Schizosaccharomyces pombe: one gene and its partner. The protein of the gene in region 1 binds, or shares a complex with, the protein of each later gene. Each region holds a gene or a part of one and is shown on either strand. Other genes may lie near its edges.

Evidence for each region.
Region 2: rrn10 (region 1) and spp27 share a complex: the UniProt entries of both Schizosaccharomyces pombe proteins name them as parts of the UAF (upstream activation factor) complex.

The regions. Positions count from the first base shown.
Region 1 is NC_003424.3:5,028,884-5,038,732, forward strand, and holds rrn10 (RNA polymerase I upstream activation factor complex subunit Rrn10), read left to right. Parts: upstream 1-4,553; 5' UTR 4,554-4,594; coding exon 4,595-4,720; exon of another isoform or gene 4,721-4,772; coding exon 4,773-4,940; 3' UTR 4,941-5,556; downstream 5,557-9,849. Other genes in the region: alpha-1,2-galactosyltransferase Gmh3, read right to left, coding at 117-1,115; RanGAP Rna1, read left to right, coding at 2,901-4,061; krp1 (kexin), read right to left, coding at 5,557-7,686; etp1 (monooxygenase-ferredoxin fusion protein), read right to left, coding at 8,325-8,563, 8,609-9,849. UniProt on the Schizosaccharomyces pombe protein: Component of the UAF (upstream activation factor) complex which interacts with the upstream element of the RNA polymerase I promoter and forms a stable preinitiation complex. UAF seems to stimulate basal transcription to a fully activated level.
Region 2 is NC_003421.2:1,829,983-1,837,681, forward strand, and holds spp27 (RNA polymerase I upstream activation factor complex subunit Spp27), read left to right. Parts: upstream 1-2,000; coding exon 2,001-2,193; exon of another isoform or gene 2,194-2,265; coding exon 2,266-2,477; exon of another isoform or gene 2,478-2,610; coding exon 2,611-2,760; exon of another isoform or gene 2,761-2,814; intron 2,815-2,931; coding exon 2,932-3,078; 3' UTR 3,079-4,187; downstream 4,188-7,699. Other genes in the region: msh6 (DNA mismatch repair protein), read right to left, coding at 1-990, 1,106-1,699; hel2 (ubiquitin-protein ligase E3), read left to right, coding at 4,631-4,727, 4,773-4,970, 5,029-6,932. UniProt on the Schizosaccharomyces pombe protein: Component of the UAF (upstream activation factor) complex which interacts with the upstream element of the RNA polymerase I promoter and forms a stable preinitiation complex. UAF seems to stimulate basal transcription to a fully activated level.

The DNA of each region.
Region 1 (9,849 bases):
GGTAATTATGTAAAAGGAGTGGCATCCAGTGGCTTGTGTATAATAAAAATAAAGACAAGATGAGGGGAAATAACCAAATGCATTAATAATGGTAATACTATTATTATTAATGCACATCAATGAACCCTCTCACGATATTCATCCCACAAAACCTGACAACGGTTCTCCACCCAACACCCAGCAAAATGTATAACCAAATGACCTTCTTTCCAGCCCATTTCCGGCTGGCCAACAGGGTAAGAATTAATAAGGGTTTGAGGTAAAATTCCTATTATAGCAGCAATTTCCGGGTGATATCTAACAAAATATCCCAAAAGGGCCTGTTCATGATCCGCAACCTTATTTTCTCTAAAGGATTTATCGCCCCATAAGTCCAAAAACAGAGCCATCATGGGCGACCTTCTAACAAAGAAACTTCCCGCGTTTAAGCCATTCAAATCTTGAGAAATCAATAGCCCTAAAGAACGAGCACTGTCAACAGTATAGGAACTTGGGGTGAGACGTTCGAGATCAGCACTAAATGGAGATATCATAGGTTCATTCTTCATTAACTTTTCCACTAAAACGTCAGGTGACAAAATATGTTCTTGAATAGAGAGTTCTGTGTTCAAAATTAACGCATCTTGGTCCAACCACCAAATCCATTTCGCATGAGGATGCTTATTCATTGTTTGTATAATAGCGGGCATTTTGGCCCACACTGGAGGAATGTTCATTTGGCTTACATTAACATATTCAAAGCCATAGTTGTGATGCTTTGCGTAGTTAATTCGGTTTTCTATGCATTGATTAAATGTTTCAGGTGCCATATTGCCACTTGAACGTCCATCACTCGCTAAGAGGATTACTATTTCATGGGATTTGGGCTCTTGAGGATCATCCTCGTTAATTGTCGCTTGATGATACGTCGTGCTAAGGCCTTGCATATCTTCATCCAGAGGTACTAAGTAGTCGTATTCTTGTACACTTGGTTTGGAAAATACATCTTGTAAACGTTCTAAAGCAGGTGAAGCAGAAAAAGAGTTTCCAAATTGGAAGTAAATGAGAAAAGAGCTAATCCCAATGATTAACAACACGAATATAACACGAGATAACTTCCACTGTAGGACTGCCATTTTAAAGATTAGCAGATGTTAAATGCAAATTAATAAAAAAATAAAAAATAAAATTTAGTCTTTTAGAGACAAGAGAAACTCTTTTTCAAGTTTCACAAATATAAACTGAGATTGGATAAAAGCAAAACAATAAGATACCAAGAATGGATCAGAAATTATGAATGAAATGGGAAACTTTCTACTCTTTCTCGGTAGAAAATTAGAAAGCCGTTTTAAAAATTAAAATGAGATTTGTGATATTCCAAAGAATACTACGTTTGAAACACGAATCTTCGCCCGTTGACTCAAGAAACGAGAGAAAACAGTAAAAAGAAATTGAAAATATAATGTAAATTATAATAAAAAAATATGAATGAATTAGATTCTTTAAAAAATGATTAACCAGATGGACCTGGAATTAAAGGCAGTGTGTAGTGGAAGGATTGAAATTACCGCATCATGGAGTCAATCATCATAAATTTACGGTTTCCTCTACTTATCGTATCCTATTTATAATAAAAGAAGAAAAAGAAGAAAAATCTGTATGGTAATGATTTATGTTCAAAATAATGAGTTGTTCCTTTAAAATCACGTTTCCAAACTTTTAATGACATGATTCACAGTACTTAAACATTTTAACCAGTTTTATACGTTGGGACAAATAACAGGAATGGCTTAATTCAGCAATACGTCTAAATCAATGTCATGATTGAATGGGAAAATAATCAAACGATTCAAATTGTTGAAACAGGTAAAGCAGATCAAGTACTGGAATGCGGACTGAAGTCCAATTCGAGAATGGTTACAACTATGAAATGAGAATTAATTTACTGAAAAGAATACAGTATCAATGGAATAGCTTTCCTGATAATGTGAAAGCTGTTTAAAGAGTATTCTATGTGTCTAGAGTGCAGACTCGTGGATTTTCACAGTAATGAATAAGAAATGTTAAACTAAAAATATCAATTGTTGTTATTATCTTGATTTTTCATATATCTGTTAAACTCCCGCTTTCCGATTTTCTTTTTGGGTCAACTCATAAATGTATATGTGTGAGTAACTGAAATGATCACGAAACAAGCGGAAAGCTGAAAGATAGGGATACTCATTTCAGATCTTTTTGATTCTTCATTTTTTGGAAGTCACCAAGCTCTTTTGGTCAATATTCCTTCGTTCAACTTCGTATTCTTATAAATGGACTAGCGATGAGGCAAAAATCTAGCAATGTTAATTGCTAGAAATGCAATTAAGTTAAAGCAAACTTAAGCTAAGAATTCAGGACTAAGGTCACTCAAAAAGGTTCTTCATAAGATCCTCTATACTTAGTCAAAAAAACAAACTATATGCAACAGGATTGTCACAGCTATTTTTTCAAAAATGAATGATAGATAAATGTCAAAAAAGCTCAATCATCCTATTTACAAAAGTTTTATACATGTCTTTCAGGAACGTATCCGAGCACTAATGCACCACTCCGACATTGAGTATCTTTCGGTTTGCGCTAATCTGATCTAATAATTTAAATGACTTCTAATAGCATAGAATCGTCTTAAAATTAAACTCATTAGCGAGAGATCGCATTTGAGTTTGTAAATAAAAACAGGTTGAGTAAAGGGGGTATCCGTCAAAAGAGGATAAATTTCGTTCTTCTTCTACTTTGAATATTATTTTAGTTTCTTTTTTAAAAGCCATGAATTCAAGTGACTGAAGCATCTATCCTCGATCAAATTTAACATACACAGCTAGTTCACACAATCTTTCCTCACCACCATACCTGCTATATTTTTTCTTTCAACAACCAACTCCATGTCGCGTTTTTCAATAGAAGGGAAGTCTTTGAAATTAGATGCAATTACAACTGAAGACGAGAAGTCTGTATTTGCTGTTCTGTTAGAAGATGATTCTGTAAAGGAAATTGTATTGTCTGGTAACACAATTGGAACCGAAGCTGCTAGATGGTTGTCAGAGAATATTGCCTCAAAAAAAGATTTAGAAATTGCAGAGTTTAGTGATATCTTTACTGGACGTGTCAAAGATGAAATTCCTGAGGCTTTACGTCTGTTGCTACAAGCTTTACTCAAGTGCCCAAAACTACATACTGTAAGATTGAGCGATAATGCCTTTGGCCCTACTGCACAGGAGCCCTTGATTGACTTTCTTTCAAAACACACACCTTTGGAGCATCTTTACCTACACAATAATGGACTCGGTCCTCAAGCTGGCGCAAAAATTGCTCGTGCCTTGCAAGAGCTGGCGGTCAACAAGAAAGCTAAAAATGCACCTCCCTTGCGTTCCATTATTTGTGGAAGAAATCGTTTAGAAAATGGGAGTATGAAAGAATGGGCTAAAACTTTCCAGAGCCACCGTTTGCTACATACAGTGAAAATGGTGCAAAATGGTATCCGTCCCGAAGGTATTGAACACTTATTGCTTGAAGGATTAGCATATTGCCAAGAGCTAAAGGTACTCGATCTTCAAGATAACACATTTACGCACTTGGGCTCTAGCGCTCTCGCTATCGCGTTGAAAAGCTGGCCCAACCTTCGAGAACTAGGCCTCAACGATTGTCTCTTATCTGCTCGCGGTGCTGCCGCAGTTGTAGATGCTTTTTCTAAATTAGAAAATATTGGGCTTCAAACGTTACGCTTACAGTATAACGAGATAGAGCTGGATGCTGTCCGGACCCTAAAAACTGTGATTGATGAGAAAATGCCGGATCTTTTATTCCTTGAATTAAATGGAAACAGATTTTCGGAAGAAGACGATGTTGTTGATGAAATACGTGAAGTCTTTAGCACCCGTGGTCGTGGTGAACTAGATGAGCTTGATGATATGGAGGAACTTACCGACGAGGAGGAGGAGGATGAAGAAGAAGAAGCTGAGTCTCAAAGCCCTGAGCCGGAGACTTCTGAAGAAGAAAAAGAAGACAAAGAACTTGCTGATGAGCTATCAAAAGCTCATATTTAGAGCAACTACTTTCCCTCTCGAACCCTGCTCCGCTGTTTCCGAAATTTTTTAACATATTTCTATTGTTCATGCTAGGCGGTAATGAACGATTGTGGTCAACGGATGGTCTATATCGACCATTCGATTTCCTTCTGCATTTTTATCAACATTCTGTCTTTTTACGCGGCAGGACCGATAAATAGTATTAGATTAAATCTGTATATGACAGAAAAAAAATTCCCCTTTCAAAAATGGCGAAAAGGTTCTTTACGTTTTATTAATAACCCACTTTAATTAAGTATTGGGTCAATATAATATGGTTTGGATTGTATCTGTGTAAAGTTGTTTTGTTGTTATGTCGTAAAGCCTGAACTATTTTTTCAGTATGTCTGTAAACCTCGAGATAAATTTTCTGTAAGTCGCAGTTAACTTTTAAGAATGTGGGGATTCCATTACTTGAGCTTGGTGTTTCCAAATATGATTGTACTACTGCAAGGACGAATTAGAAGCTTCACCTAGCATAGTACATACTCTACGTCCAACGCCATCTATTAATGTCAAATCCACCAACTCGGCCAACTTTGTATAATTTGGTGAATGCTGATGGTGAATTGTCTTACAGAGCTCGTGATTTAGTACAGGATTTTTCTGTTCCAATTCCACATGAACTGCCGGATCCTGTAAGTTCACAGCTTCTGCCAATACTTGTTTAACTAATCTTTTTATGTTTAGGATTTAGTTCATAGCATCCAGGATTTTGCAACAGAATACATGCTTGCGACAGGGAAAAAGTCATTCGAGTGTTTGGATGAAAGTGCTTTATTGGGGTTGGGATATTTGGTGACTGAATGGATGGATGCTATGGTTACTGATTGTTTGGAAGAATTTGAAGAAAGATGAATTATCCTTGTACATTTTACTTTTCATTCGTTTGTTTCGAGATGACTCCGTTACATTTGTATGACTAACTTTGATGATTTTTCTATATGGCGTAAAGTTGTTAAACAGCTATGAATGCGTATTTGTGTATTGAAATTTTTATCTTTTGATAATTGTTTAAAATCAACATTACAGATGTAATTACATTGCTTGACATGTATGCAGGCTGCTGAAAAGCGAGAAGCAACGATGCTGTTAAGATTTTAACAAGCTTTGCGATACATTAGCAAACATATTAGGACTTCAACTATTTTTTTTTTGCAAAGCCTTTACTATTAAATCCGAATACTGTTACCAGTGAATCGTAAAGACAATCACTTCAACTACCCAAAGCATAATCCAATATACATTTTATTACTTGGTATTTATACACGCTATCTAATGATTACACTTCAAAGGGGTCGAATTAAATACGTAGTCCATGCGTATTTATTAAAATGCAAAATTAAGAAATGCCAATTAGGTTGTTTCATATCGATGAATGAAACGAATGACAAGTGACATCTAAGAAGAGATCATACTTTAAAAAGTAGTCCATATTATTTTAAACAGAAGTGAAAAAACGAGTGTTAACTTTTCAAGCAATTTCTTGCTGAGACAATGGTGGGGGTGCTTTAGCTTTCCAAAATGCGGAAATCCATGTCCATATGACAGCAACGAAAATAAAGGCAAACAACAAAAAGAAAGTAATAAATGCAACAATTTCTCTATAAGAGGGTTCCAATACAGGTTGGGTAGGGGGTAGGACTGTAGGAATCGGTATATGAGACGTTGATGTAGGTGTAGCTGTGGCAGATACGGTGTAAGAAGTAAATGAAGTAGACGTAGGGCTCAACAAGGTACTTGAGTTAGTCAGATCGCTATTTGGTTCAGAGTATATTCCCAAGACCATCTCCTTTGGAAGCTCAAGAGTGTCATAAGGGAGTGGTGCAGTATTAGAAGGGTTTTCAGATTCTCCCCACAAAGCCAACTGCCAATTTTCAAACGTACCTTCATGCTTTCCACCACTTCGATCATTAACCAGTAACTTCCAAACCCCCTCTGGAGGTTCGGCCCAATGCTGCACAGTCATGAACGTCCAGTCTAAAAACCCCTTACTATTCTCATCATACGGTCGTTCACTGGCAAGGATTGAACGAATGCCGGAAGGGCTTTCCAAGAGAATCTCCAATGCTCCTCTTCGGTTAAAAGGTATACACACCCTAACAGTGACATGTTCTAATCTTTTGAAGTTGCTTTTCTCAATCATATCCTTAGTAACGGTAAATTCGCTTACCATTTCAGTTATTGTCTCATTGTTAACACTCCCGAATGATTTATTAACATTAATTTCTGGAGCAATGAGCCAGGTTTGTGGATTCACGACCTGCCAATCCTTAGCCACCTCGACGAACTTCGATGCATCCAATTTACCAAACCCAAAATGATGGGAGAACTGGAATCCTGCTGGAGTCTTTTGCCATTCTGCATTTTGAGAAGGGCTATCAAAAGGAGATGCTGAATACACTGTAATATGCTGAATGTCTCTCCAACTAAGGTCAGGACGAATCGAAAGCGCCAAAGCATATACAGCAGATGCTAACGGAGCAGCCGCTGAGGTACCACCATGACTTCTAGTACATGTGCCTTCAGGATTTGTAGTTAATATAGACAAATGTGAGCCACTACTATATGCTGAAACTAATTGCGCAGCACACACCTCACTGTAAAATGGGATTTTATGTTCAGCATCAACAGCACCAATGGTAGCACTGAATATGCTATTCGTGTAGCCATCAAAATTGCAATTATCATGATAATGGCCTCCATTTCCAGAAGCGAACACAAAAATCGACCCAAGACCATTTCGGCCATTAAGGACACCGTTCATCAACGCACGACGAGTAGCCGTATTAGGAGCATCCATTGCTCTTCCATCATCTGCAGGGCCCCAGGAACATGAATATATATGATTTGTTTGAAAGCCATAATTCAGTGCTTCCGATTCAACAGCATCAGTAATAGGGGCCGAAAGAATACGAAGTCCAGCGACCTTGGCGCGTGGAGCTATGCCTACGCCACAAACGTCGTTCCAAGCTGCAGCCACTTCTCCAGCACAACGGGTGCCGTGCTGATCATCTGATAACTTTGGCAAAGGGTCAGCAATGTTATCATTGAAGTCCCAAGAACCAAGCGAAGTGTAAGCAGCTTGCAAATCTGGATGTTTAAAATCAATTCCATCGTCTACAAATGCAACGGTAACATTCTCACCGAAGTAACCGGCGTCCCAGACTTCACGTAGATTCAGATCGTGTCCAGGATTATTCGAGTTGAATATGTGCCATTGGCCATAAAAGAGAGGATCCGAAATTCCAAAATGATTAGAGAACTCATTCAGTAATTCATCAGATTCACTCGCATCCCGCTTGTAGCGCCATCTGGGCGTCTGGCGCTCCAATTCCAAGATTCCGGCATCAATGCCTCGTTTTCGAATTGAACTTTGGACTGAATCATCGCTCCCCTTATGTAGCTTAATTAAATGGTGATACTTCAAATTTAATAAAGGGCGCACATACTTAGCACCAATGGCTTCTGCTGCTACTACAGGATCAACTTCAGGTTCCACTTGAACTAGAAATAAATCATCGTTTTCTAATGGAGAGCAAGAAGAAACCAAAAACTGTAAAAATATTGCAAGAATTGGCCCACATAGCAAAGCAGGATGCATGGTGCTGGGACGGTGTATGCACTAGGTGGCTTAACAGATTATGGTGTCCACTGTACCATAGTGGTGGCTATGTACAATAAAACAGCCATTCGACTAAAACACATATAAAGTGTAAAGCTGTCAGTATTTAAACTTTTCCAATTAAGAAATACATGGCAAAAGTGAGCAATTGCTAAACCGTGTGTCTACTATAATACCATGTTATATATTACATTTCATCAATACAGAAAAATAGAGCATCTACTTGTTAATCATGAAATAACTTTAAGCATTTAATAGTAAAAAAAATATAAACGACGATGAAAACATTAAAAGTATGAAATTTAGAAACCATCTTCATCCTGGTCTTAGTAATATTACAAGTTTTCATGATTAAGTGTAAGATTTGAAAACAAAGGGTTAATTTATAATTAAAACAACTGTAGTCTGGATAAAGAAGGAATATAGTTAAAATGTAAAACCATGTGCCAGGTTGACTATTTAATTAGTTATGTGCATTTATTAGCTAGGCATGAACTTGATCCAAAAAAAAAAAATGAAAGTTGAGAATACGGATGAGATAGTATACTTTCGGAAGAAAATACTTTTATGGAATACTAGTACGAGACACTTGTCAAATTGTAAGCATGTTGACAAAATCAAGCTTTTGGTCTCTCCAATCGTATGTTTCTAGTCTGAGCAGGAATTCGTACACGGATGCCATCCAAATCTTTTCTTAAGAGTACTTGGCATCCCAATCTGCTTGTTTCCTCAAGACCAAATGCTAAATCAAGCATGTCTTCTTCATCTTCTTCCGGGGGATCCAAAAGTTCGTAATGCTCTGGATCTACGATAACATGGCAAGTCGAACATGCAACAGACCCTTCACAAGCGCCTTCTAAATCGATATTGTTAGCATGAGCGAGATCTAAAATACTATCACCTTCATTTCCCTCAATCATGATTTCACGTCCTTCAGGCGTGACGAAAAAAACTTTGATTCCAGTGCCCGGCAAAGGCTTTTTAATTTCGGAATGGAATGATGGGCGGAATGTATGGAATTGGCGTTGTTGAGTCAAAATGGAAGATGAAATGCTACTTTTGGGAGGAGAAGAGATTAATTTTGTCCATGAGCGGATGTTTTTTAAAGCGTATTCTGGATGCAAGCGCTGAGCAAGTGATAAGGCCGCGGTTAATGTAACAAGACTACCGGCTTGATGAAGGGCTGCCAAAGGTACAGGGACAACATAGATTAGAGTCATAATACCCAAAGTAGCTTGAGCAGTTACAACGCCTGTAACAACGTTAATGCTAGTTTTAATCTTCTTAGGCAAAATGTTTCTTTTAGCACGGGAAAAAATAAAAAGACCACATGCAGCAACAAAAGTAGTAATAGCTAAGATACGGTGTTCGAGTTGAACAAGACTTGGGTTGTCAATCATGTTTCTCCATATAAGATCGGACTTGTCGTCTTTCCTACAAAACCTTTGATCAAATAACTCGCTTTTAGATGGAGCAAGTCTTCCTTCGCCCATTTCCGGGAAAGTACAATAAATCATTCCGGCATCCAATCCAGCAACAAAGGCACCGGACAAAAGGGTGATCAGTACCAAGCCAACAAATGAGTTAACACTAGTACGAAATCCTTTCATTTTCTGAACTGAAGAAACCATTGAAGTCAATTGAGATGTGGAGCCACTCTTCATAGATTTCAAAAAGGCATGTCGTTGAAGGATTCCATGCCCAGTCCACACCAAGCCAATATAGAGAGCAACGGCAGCGGCTAAATGAGTAGCCAAGCGATAATGACTAACACGCGGATGAGAACCATCACTGAAGAGCTCTTCTGAAAGACCACTCTTGACCATCCACCAACCGATGACTCCTTGAAGTCCAACGAGTCCCGTAAGGCCGATTAGTCGCTTGCTTAGCCAAGGAGATGCCCTTTTAGTCACAATCATGTATATGGAAGGAAGAAGGATTGTCAAGCCGATTCCTCTACCGAGGACACGATGAAACCACTCCCAGAAAAATATGTTTTTAAACTCATCCACTGTCATATGGCTGTTCAGCTTCTCAAACTCTGGTGATTTTTTGTAAAGCTCAAATTCTTGGTTCCATTGTTCATCAGTAAGAGGAGGAATTACGCCAGTGATGGGCTTCCATTCAGTAATACTTAACCCG
Region 2 (7,699 bases), on another chromosome or scaffold:
AGTCGAGGTATCAATGAAGCAGATACCAAAAGAAGGCTCTTCGTTGTCAGATTGAAGACTTTCTTTAATAGCCATACAATATGTTGACAAGTCAGAAGTCAGCATTGCCTCGTCAACAAGGGTCCCGCTCGTTAAGACTTGGGTAAGGCCTCGCTGAACTACTTTTTCTTCCTTCTGAGTTCGTTGACGATCTTTTATTTCTTTACCTAAAGCGGTTTCCAATTGGTCGACTCGAGCTATACGATACCCCTTTGCAATGAATTGAGATGCCCAGTAATCAAAACTTGCTTCAGGAATTCCAACCATCTTCATATTAACTCTATCAGTTAACTTTAAGGAAAATACCTGATGTCCGATAGCGGCATCATTCTCATATAACTCATAAAATTTTCCCTTCTGAAAAAAAACAACTGTATCCATAAGGTCCTTTTTAATTTTCCAAAATTGTTTCTCAAATGGCTTGAAAGTTGCCCAAGCTGAAGGTGGGATATACAATGTGCGCGGATCATAATTAGGATCACCCACTCGATTTTGATCAGCATCTCGAACATCTAGCAACCACTCGTAACGTTCGTTGTTTTCTTTTTTAAATGCCTCCATTCTTTGCCTTCTTTTTTCTTCTCTGTTCAGGACACCGTTTTTATTCGATTTTGTGGGAGATGCAGAACCCGAGACCGAAGGGCTTGGACTGGCAATTTGAGAGCCTAGCCGATAACTTTCATACAAAGAATTGGAACTCTCCTTTCGAGATTCCTTTTTGGGAATTGGAGCAGCCACAGAAACGGAATGATCTGAATATCCATCAACATCCTCATCCATAGATTCGACTTCATCAATAGGCAAGGATGCCTCAGATGAGGCTTCCGAAATATGATCGGGCTCAACGTAGTCATCCGATTCGTCATCAGAAACGATTCTTTTATGACGAGATCCTTTGGTAGGTGCATCGTCGAAGTCTTCGTCTTCATCACTTTCAGCGTAGGAAACAGGCTAGCATATTGTTAGTCATAATTAATTAAAACAAAAATCTGGTTAATATAGGGGTAAAGTGCGTATTTCCCCTTTTATTCTTCTAAAGTAATATGTATCACTCAATTACCCATACCTTCCTTGAACGCCGAGAAGCTATAAAAGGCTTGTCGACTTCAGATAATTCCGAATTTTCCAGCTTCGACGAGACAGGATGACGAAATTGATCTTCAGCTTGAAATATTGATGTATCCAAACTTTTAAAACTTTTCTTTTTCGTCGGAGAATCGATTTCTTCTTCAGAGTCGGGCTCTTGCTTCACAGACGTGCGAAGCAATTTACCTGGTGACTCCTCGCCCAAAGAATCATGAGGGCGTTTAGGAGATGATCGGTGTAGGCTGCTAGAAAGCGGTGAGGAAAATGGATCACTTGATGGAGGAGGAAGCATAGATGAACTGGAATCTATCTCGGTATTCGCATGATGAGAAGGACTCGTTGGCAATTCGCGTTCCGGAGACGAAGAGTTTTTGTTCACATTGGAGCTGTTGTCAACATCAGCAGGCGTATCATGATTAGAGTCGTGATTCGAACTACTAGATAATGTAGAATCCGACTTCTCTTGTTTCACATTCGGGATTTTGGAGAAAAACCCAAAGAGGGTTTTCTGCTTTGTTTTAGCTGATGAATCTTTTGTTTTCTCCCTTTGCTTGCCAACGTTCCCAACGCTCATACTGGAACAAGTGTTGGTTTTGGCTAAGTTCAGTTATTTACAAAAAGCAGCATTCTAATAGTAAACAAAGCTAACATGAGAGCACAAAATAACATATATAATTTCCATTATTTTTAGTTTTACAAGAAATTAAATTGAAGCTTTATGTATTTACATCTGTAAAAATAGCGTGTTTTTCAAAATCGCATTTAGCTACACCAGCGCTCTTTCCTTCTTTACCGTAATCTATATCCACTACCACCGTCTCACTACACCATACTTTGACCAACACAGTAAGGTGGTAGTATAAAGAACTAGAACGATGGAAGAGTACGAAACAGACATTAAGCAAATTCTCGGTACAGTTGATCGCCAAACTGTATCTGCGAAGCAAGTTCGTCAACTTTTAGAAGAAAGAAGAAAGGTAGATTTGAGTGCGCATAAAAAAGACTTGAATGCGCTGATTTTGAAATGCTTTGATGAAACCGCCGCACCTTCAGAGAAGGAGAGTTTAGGTAAGATGAGAATATTGCTGGAAGAAATTTGCAAATAATAATGCAAGAAATAATAATTAACCAAACTTGTAGAAAAACAAGCACCCGCTCGCAAAACCAAGGGTAAGAGAGCGACGGAAAATGGCACTGAAGAAGGCAAGAAACCAGCAAAGAGAACCCGAAAACGCAAGGAAGATGGAGAAGAGGGTGGAAAACGCAAGAGGAACCAAGATCCTGCCAACAATCCTCTGAATAAGCCTATGAAGTTGTCCCCTAAGTTGGCCGAATTTTTGGGTCTTGAACAGGTAAGGCGGTGTTGTAGTGTGGAAGCCGTGCCTACTCGTTCCATTCAAAATCTTGTTGTTTTGAAAAAAGAGGCAGGCTTACATACTAAATGTTTATTTGCACGCTTTCTCTGCTGATTGCTAACTAACGTAGTTATCTCGTCCCCAAACTGTGAAGAAGTTATGGGAGTATATAAAAGCACATGACTTACAAGATCCCAACGACAAGCGAACAATTCTTTGTGATGACAAATTGAAAAGCGTTTTCGAAGTCGACACTTTGCATATGTTTACCATGAACAAGGTAAGTTAATCATGGATGGGTTCACAATTGTTTTAAGGAGGTTTGTCAACAAACTTTTACTTTGTCGATTGTAACTTTCCTTGTCTACTTTTTTCATTTGGTTACTTGTGGAAAACATTCCGCATTGCTCTTTGTTACCTGCTGCCGAAGCTAAGCTAACTTAATTAATAGTACTTAACAAATCTCATGACGAAGATTCCTGATGATCAATTGCCCAAACCTCAGCCTAAAAATGAAGAACCAGCGGCTCCGAACGATCTTCCCAAGCAGGAGGAAAAAGAGTTGGTCGAGCCTCCTACCGCCGAATCCACCGCTTGAGCCTTTGTGTTTGCTGCATGACCATATAAAACAGCCAAAACTTTTTTTCATATAATATCTTGCAATAATCCCTTTTTTTTTTGTCTCCAAAAATCATTCAAGTTTTTTGCTTTCATTGCATGCAATAAATGTTTATTTCGTTCAATACTCGCTTGCTTACCTGTTTTTCCTCAACAGATTTTGCCTATGTCCATGTCATATCCGTGCTTTAATACTAGAGGCTATGTATGTCTAGAGAGTCTCCACGCATAATCAGATATCGTATTTTGCATTACAACTTTCTGATCTTAAATGCAGTGTGAAAACAAAAGTTCAGGTTGCTGACTTTAGACCTTGGGTTGCTACAAGAGGTAATTTACGTTAGACTGACTGTGATTTTACGAATATTTCTTATCACCTATTCCTTATGGATATCTTTGTGCTTTTTTTTATAAATTCATATAGCATATTGATTTTCTTTTCTAAATGAACTGTTGTGCATGATGGAGATTTTCATGTATTGTATTAACACTTTCTTCACCGCACCTTTAATTATTTTACCGCTGCTTTGCTCTATAATATCATTGAAATAAAAAATGATTCACTTCAGCCCATTGTCGGGGAATTTTGTTTACGAAACCACCGTCGCTTGGAGCTGTCGAAGCCATATCATCAATAATAAATTTTATTTACTACCCTTGCGTATTACAAACCCATAATATGATGTTTGCTTTACAGTTTTGGATGATCTAAGATATGGCTTGGTTGTATGACTAGTACTCGTCTTGTGTCTATAGTGTATATATTAAATTATACGCAAATGGATGTTTTCTGGATATATGCTTTTAAGTCTCAAATAATGTACTGTCTTTTTAATTTGTTTATTATTTTATTTTGGGATTTTCTTTGGGGTTGCAAACCTGTCATCCGTTTGTTAGAGTATGTTTACATAAACATTTTTGTGTGCTTGTGGGTCGTTTTTTTTTTGGAAGATTGCTGCTTATAACCGTCAAAAGACTTATAAATTGATTAGACTGAGTGGAAAGTGTTCTTCTCTTTTATATTAGTCCTTAATGAATATACTTATTATTGATTGAATCATTTCATGGTGTTTACGACTTCTAAAGATCCAATCACACTTTAGATGAAGCCACATTTAACAGTTGTAACAATTGCATTTATTTGTAGACAGGACAACGCTTGCTTACATACATACACGACTTCTTGTTTAAGCACAAAGTAAAAAGATTATGGCGAAAAAGTTAGGGGAATATTTTTTTCAAAACAAATTAGTAAATTATATAAGCCCTTTATAAGAGATTGCTATTTACTTCCGCTGTACATTCAATGCTATATACGTTTCTAACAAAATATTCGATGCACGTTTCAAAAATCAATTCAGAAGCTTAAAAACTTTCCAATAATGTTGAAATTATAAATATATTCTTAGTTTGCGATATTCCAGCTAATTCAGAGGTCTCCAGCTAAACTGTTTTTTTTAGCATACAGCAGCTCGCTTTACGAAATTTTATTTACCCAGCGCCATACACGCAATCTTCTATAAACAATCAAAATGTCGCCTTCGGGCCCCAATTTAAATAATAAGGAGCACAACAGAGCATCGGAAAAAAAGAATTCTAGGACTCATAATAAAAAAACTAATAGGAATCGTACGTAACTTCCTTGTTGACATATTCCTTTTAACACATTTCAAGAAAGTAAAGAGAAACCGGTAAGCTCTAGGTCGGTAGAAACTCCAAAAAATGCAGTTTGCTTAGAGCCGGTTGGCACAGATCCTGTCAGTAATGTCGCTACTGTTGATGCTTCCAAAGAAGAACAGGATGAGGATGAGCAAATTTGCTTCATTTGTGCTGAAGGTATTACTTACAGCTGCGTCCTTCCTTGCAATCATCGTATGTCTTGTATCATGTTTTAAAAATGTTACAACTATGTTTAATCTAACTTAATTAGGAATGTGTCATGTTTGTGCTTTGAGATTGCGAGCGCTATACAAAACGAAGGAATGTACGTTTTGTAAAACCGAATGGGATACGGTTCTCATTACTAAAGATCATGAAATCGATATTCATGATGTCGATTTAGCAAAACTTCCTTTCCAAGATGAGAAACTTGGAATTGTGTATTCTGACGAGCATGCTCAAGAAGAATCCAACCTCTTGCTTCAATTCAACTGTCCAGAAGACGCTTGCGATATCACATGCAAAGGCTGGTTTGATTTAAAGCTGCATGCGAAGGTCAAACACCATAAGTTTTTCTGTGATCTTTGTGTTAAGAACAAAAAGGTTTTTACCCATGAACACACGCTATTTTCCAAGAAAGGATTGACAAAGCACAATGAAGTTGGAGATCAGGGATCCGATTTAGAGATTACTGGATTCAAGGGTCACCCGAAGTGTGAGTTTTGTAATACCCATTTTTATGATGATGATGAGTTGTTTAAGCATTGCCGTGAAAAACATGAACGATGTTACATCTGTGACCAAGTTGCAGGAAGGCCGACGCATCAGTACTTTAAAAATTATGATTCGTTAGAGCGCCACTTTGAAAAAGATCATTATATTTGTCGTGAAAGGGAGTGTTTGGAACGTAAATTTGTTGTTTTTGGAACTGAAATAGATTTGAAAGCGCATCAGTTGGATGAGCATCCCCACAACTTTACTCAACGCGAACTTCGAGAAGCACGAAGAATTATTCCTCAATTTAGTTACGACCCACCCGGCGCGTCCGGCAGGAACCGTCGTGAACGAACTTCTTCCACACCATCCGAACAATCTACTTCAGTGAATGAGACTGCCAACTCACTCTCTAACCTACACCTTTCCCGTGGAGAGATTGCTCACTTACGACAAGAAGAATATGTTCGCGAGCAACAAGCTCGCCATCGTGATTTTGGTTTCACGTTATCAAATCCGGCGCCTACATCTGCCCGCCCAGCGACATCTACTAGAACCATCAGCAGAGGAAAAACTAGAACGTTAAGAAACGAAGATTTCCCCTCTTTAGCCGAGGTTGCTAATCAAAATAGCTCTTCCGCACCCTCAGTACCTGTCTCCGCGCCTCGTCTGTCTGGTAAGTCTGCTTCAAGAAATCATGTTCCATCTCCACCCAAGGGCACTAAATCCCCGATGGCCTCTTCCGAGCAAGCACAACACCAACAAGTAATTGATCGGATGCAAAAATTGACGAATTACGATGATCACAAAATTAATGACTTTAAATTTGCTGTTTCTTCCTTCCGTGGTAATGTTATGCCCGCTCGTGAAGCTGTTGCTCGCATTACAAAATTAGTTGCAAAGCCTCATGAGCAATTGTCGGGCGTGTTCAACCAAATAGCAAATCTTCTAGAAAATAAAGAGAAGTCAAGGGAATTGTTGGAAGCTTGGCAGGAATGGAAAATACTGAATGCGAAAGATGATACTCGTATAGGTACTACTAACTCTAATCTTTTGCGCTTGAAGAGATCAAATAGGACTGCTGCTCAAACAGCTAGTGTTTGGAATCGTATTGAGCGTGCAGCAGCTCACGATGGGCCTTCTTTGTCTGCTCCATCATCTTCTATAAACCTAGCAAATATTACCTCAAGGCCAACGAACAGCTCAGCTGCAAATACTCCTTCTTGGGGTGTGCGCAAAGCACGTGCATCTGCGTTAAATGCAAGATCTGAAGAAGATTTTCCCGCACTTCCTCCTTCTACCTCGAAGAGAATTTCTGTTCAACTCGGAAAAAAGCAGGCTCGTCCCGTTGATTCATGGGGGTCTACACCAAATACTTCTTCCAATCGTAATAGTAATACGATGGGTGTTTCAAAGAAAAAAAACGGAAAAAAGCAAACTGTTTTGTTTCACATTGGTTGATTTTGGTTTATTGTATATAATAATTTTATTGATGGATGGGCATTTCGTTAATATATAATAATTTTGGGATGTACTCATTTATAATCTAGCACTTTATACCTTTTACCTGACTGTTGGGTTGTTTATCTGACCTCATAAAAGAAAGTGTCGTTTTGGAAAAATTAGCATTACATTGAGGGTCCTCCGCTAATGCTCCTGCGAAAAATGATTTTAATTTTGGATGTTTTTTCAGAAATAAAATGAAAATTAGCTTGATATAATATCAACCGGCAGCGAGTAATAGATTTAAAATAAATTTGATTAATTAAAAAAATTTGTTGTTTTAAGCAAGCCATTTTGCTAAAATCAAAGGTAATGGAAGAGTATTTCCGAAAAATCTCAACACATGTGAATGATCAGAAAATTATCGCCATAAAAGACAGAATAAGTCATCAGCGGTTGTTTCATTTCCTATATTTTTTTTTTATTTTTTTATTTTTTAATAAGGGAAAATTTAACGTCTAAGGATACAGAAGATTGTTAGCACATTAAAGTAATAAAGGCTTAAGTAGTAAGTGCCTTAGCATGTTATTGTATTTCAAAGGACATAATCTAAAATAATAACAATATCATTTCTCACAAGTTATTCAATTTTCTTTTTTTTTTCTAATAATATCAAGAATGTATTATTTGTTTGACATAAGTCAACTAATTTATTTAATATGCTGGATTAATCTTGCAGACATGTAAATTAACAAGTTTTAGTCAAATAACGTTGAAGTTTCAAT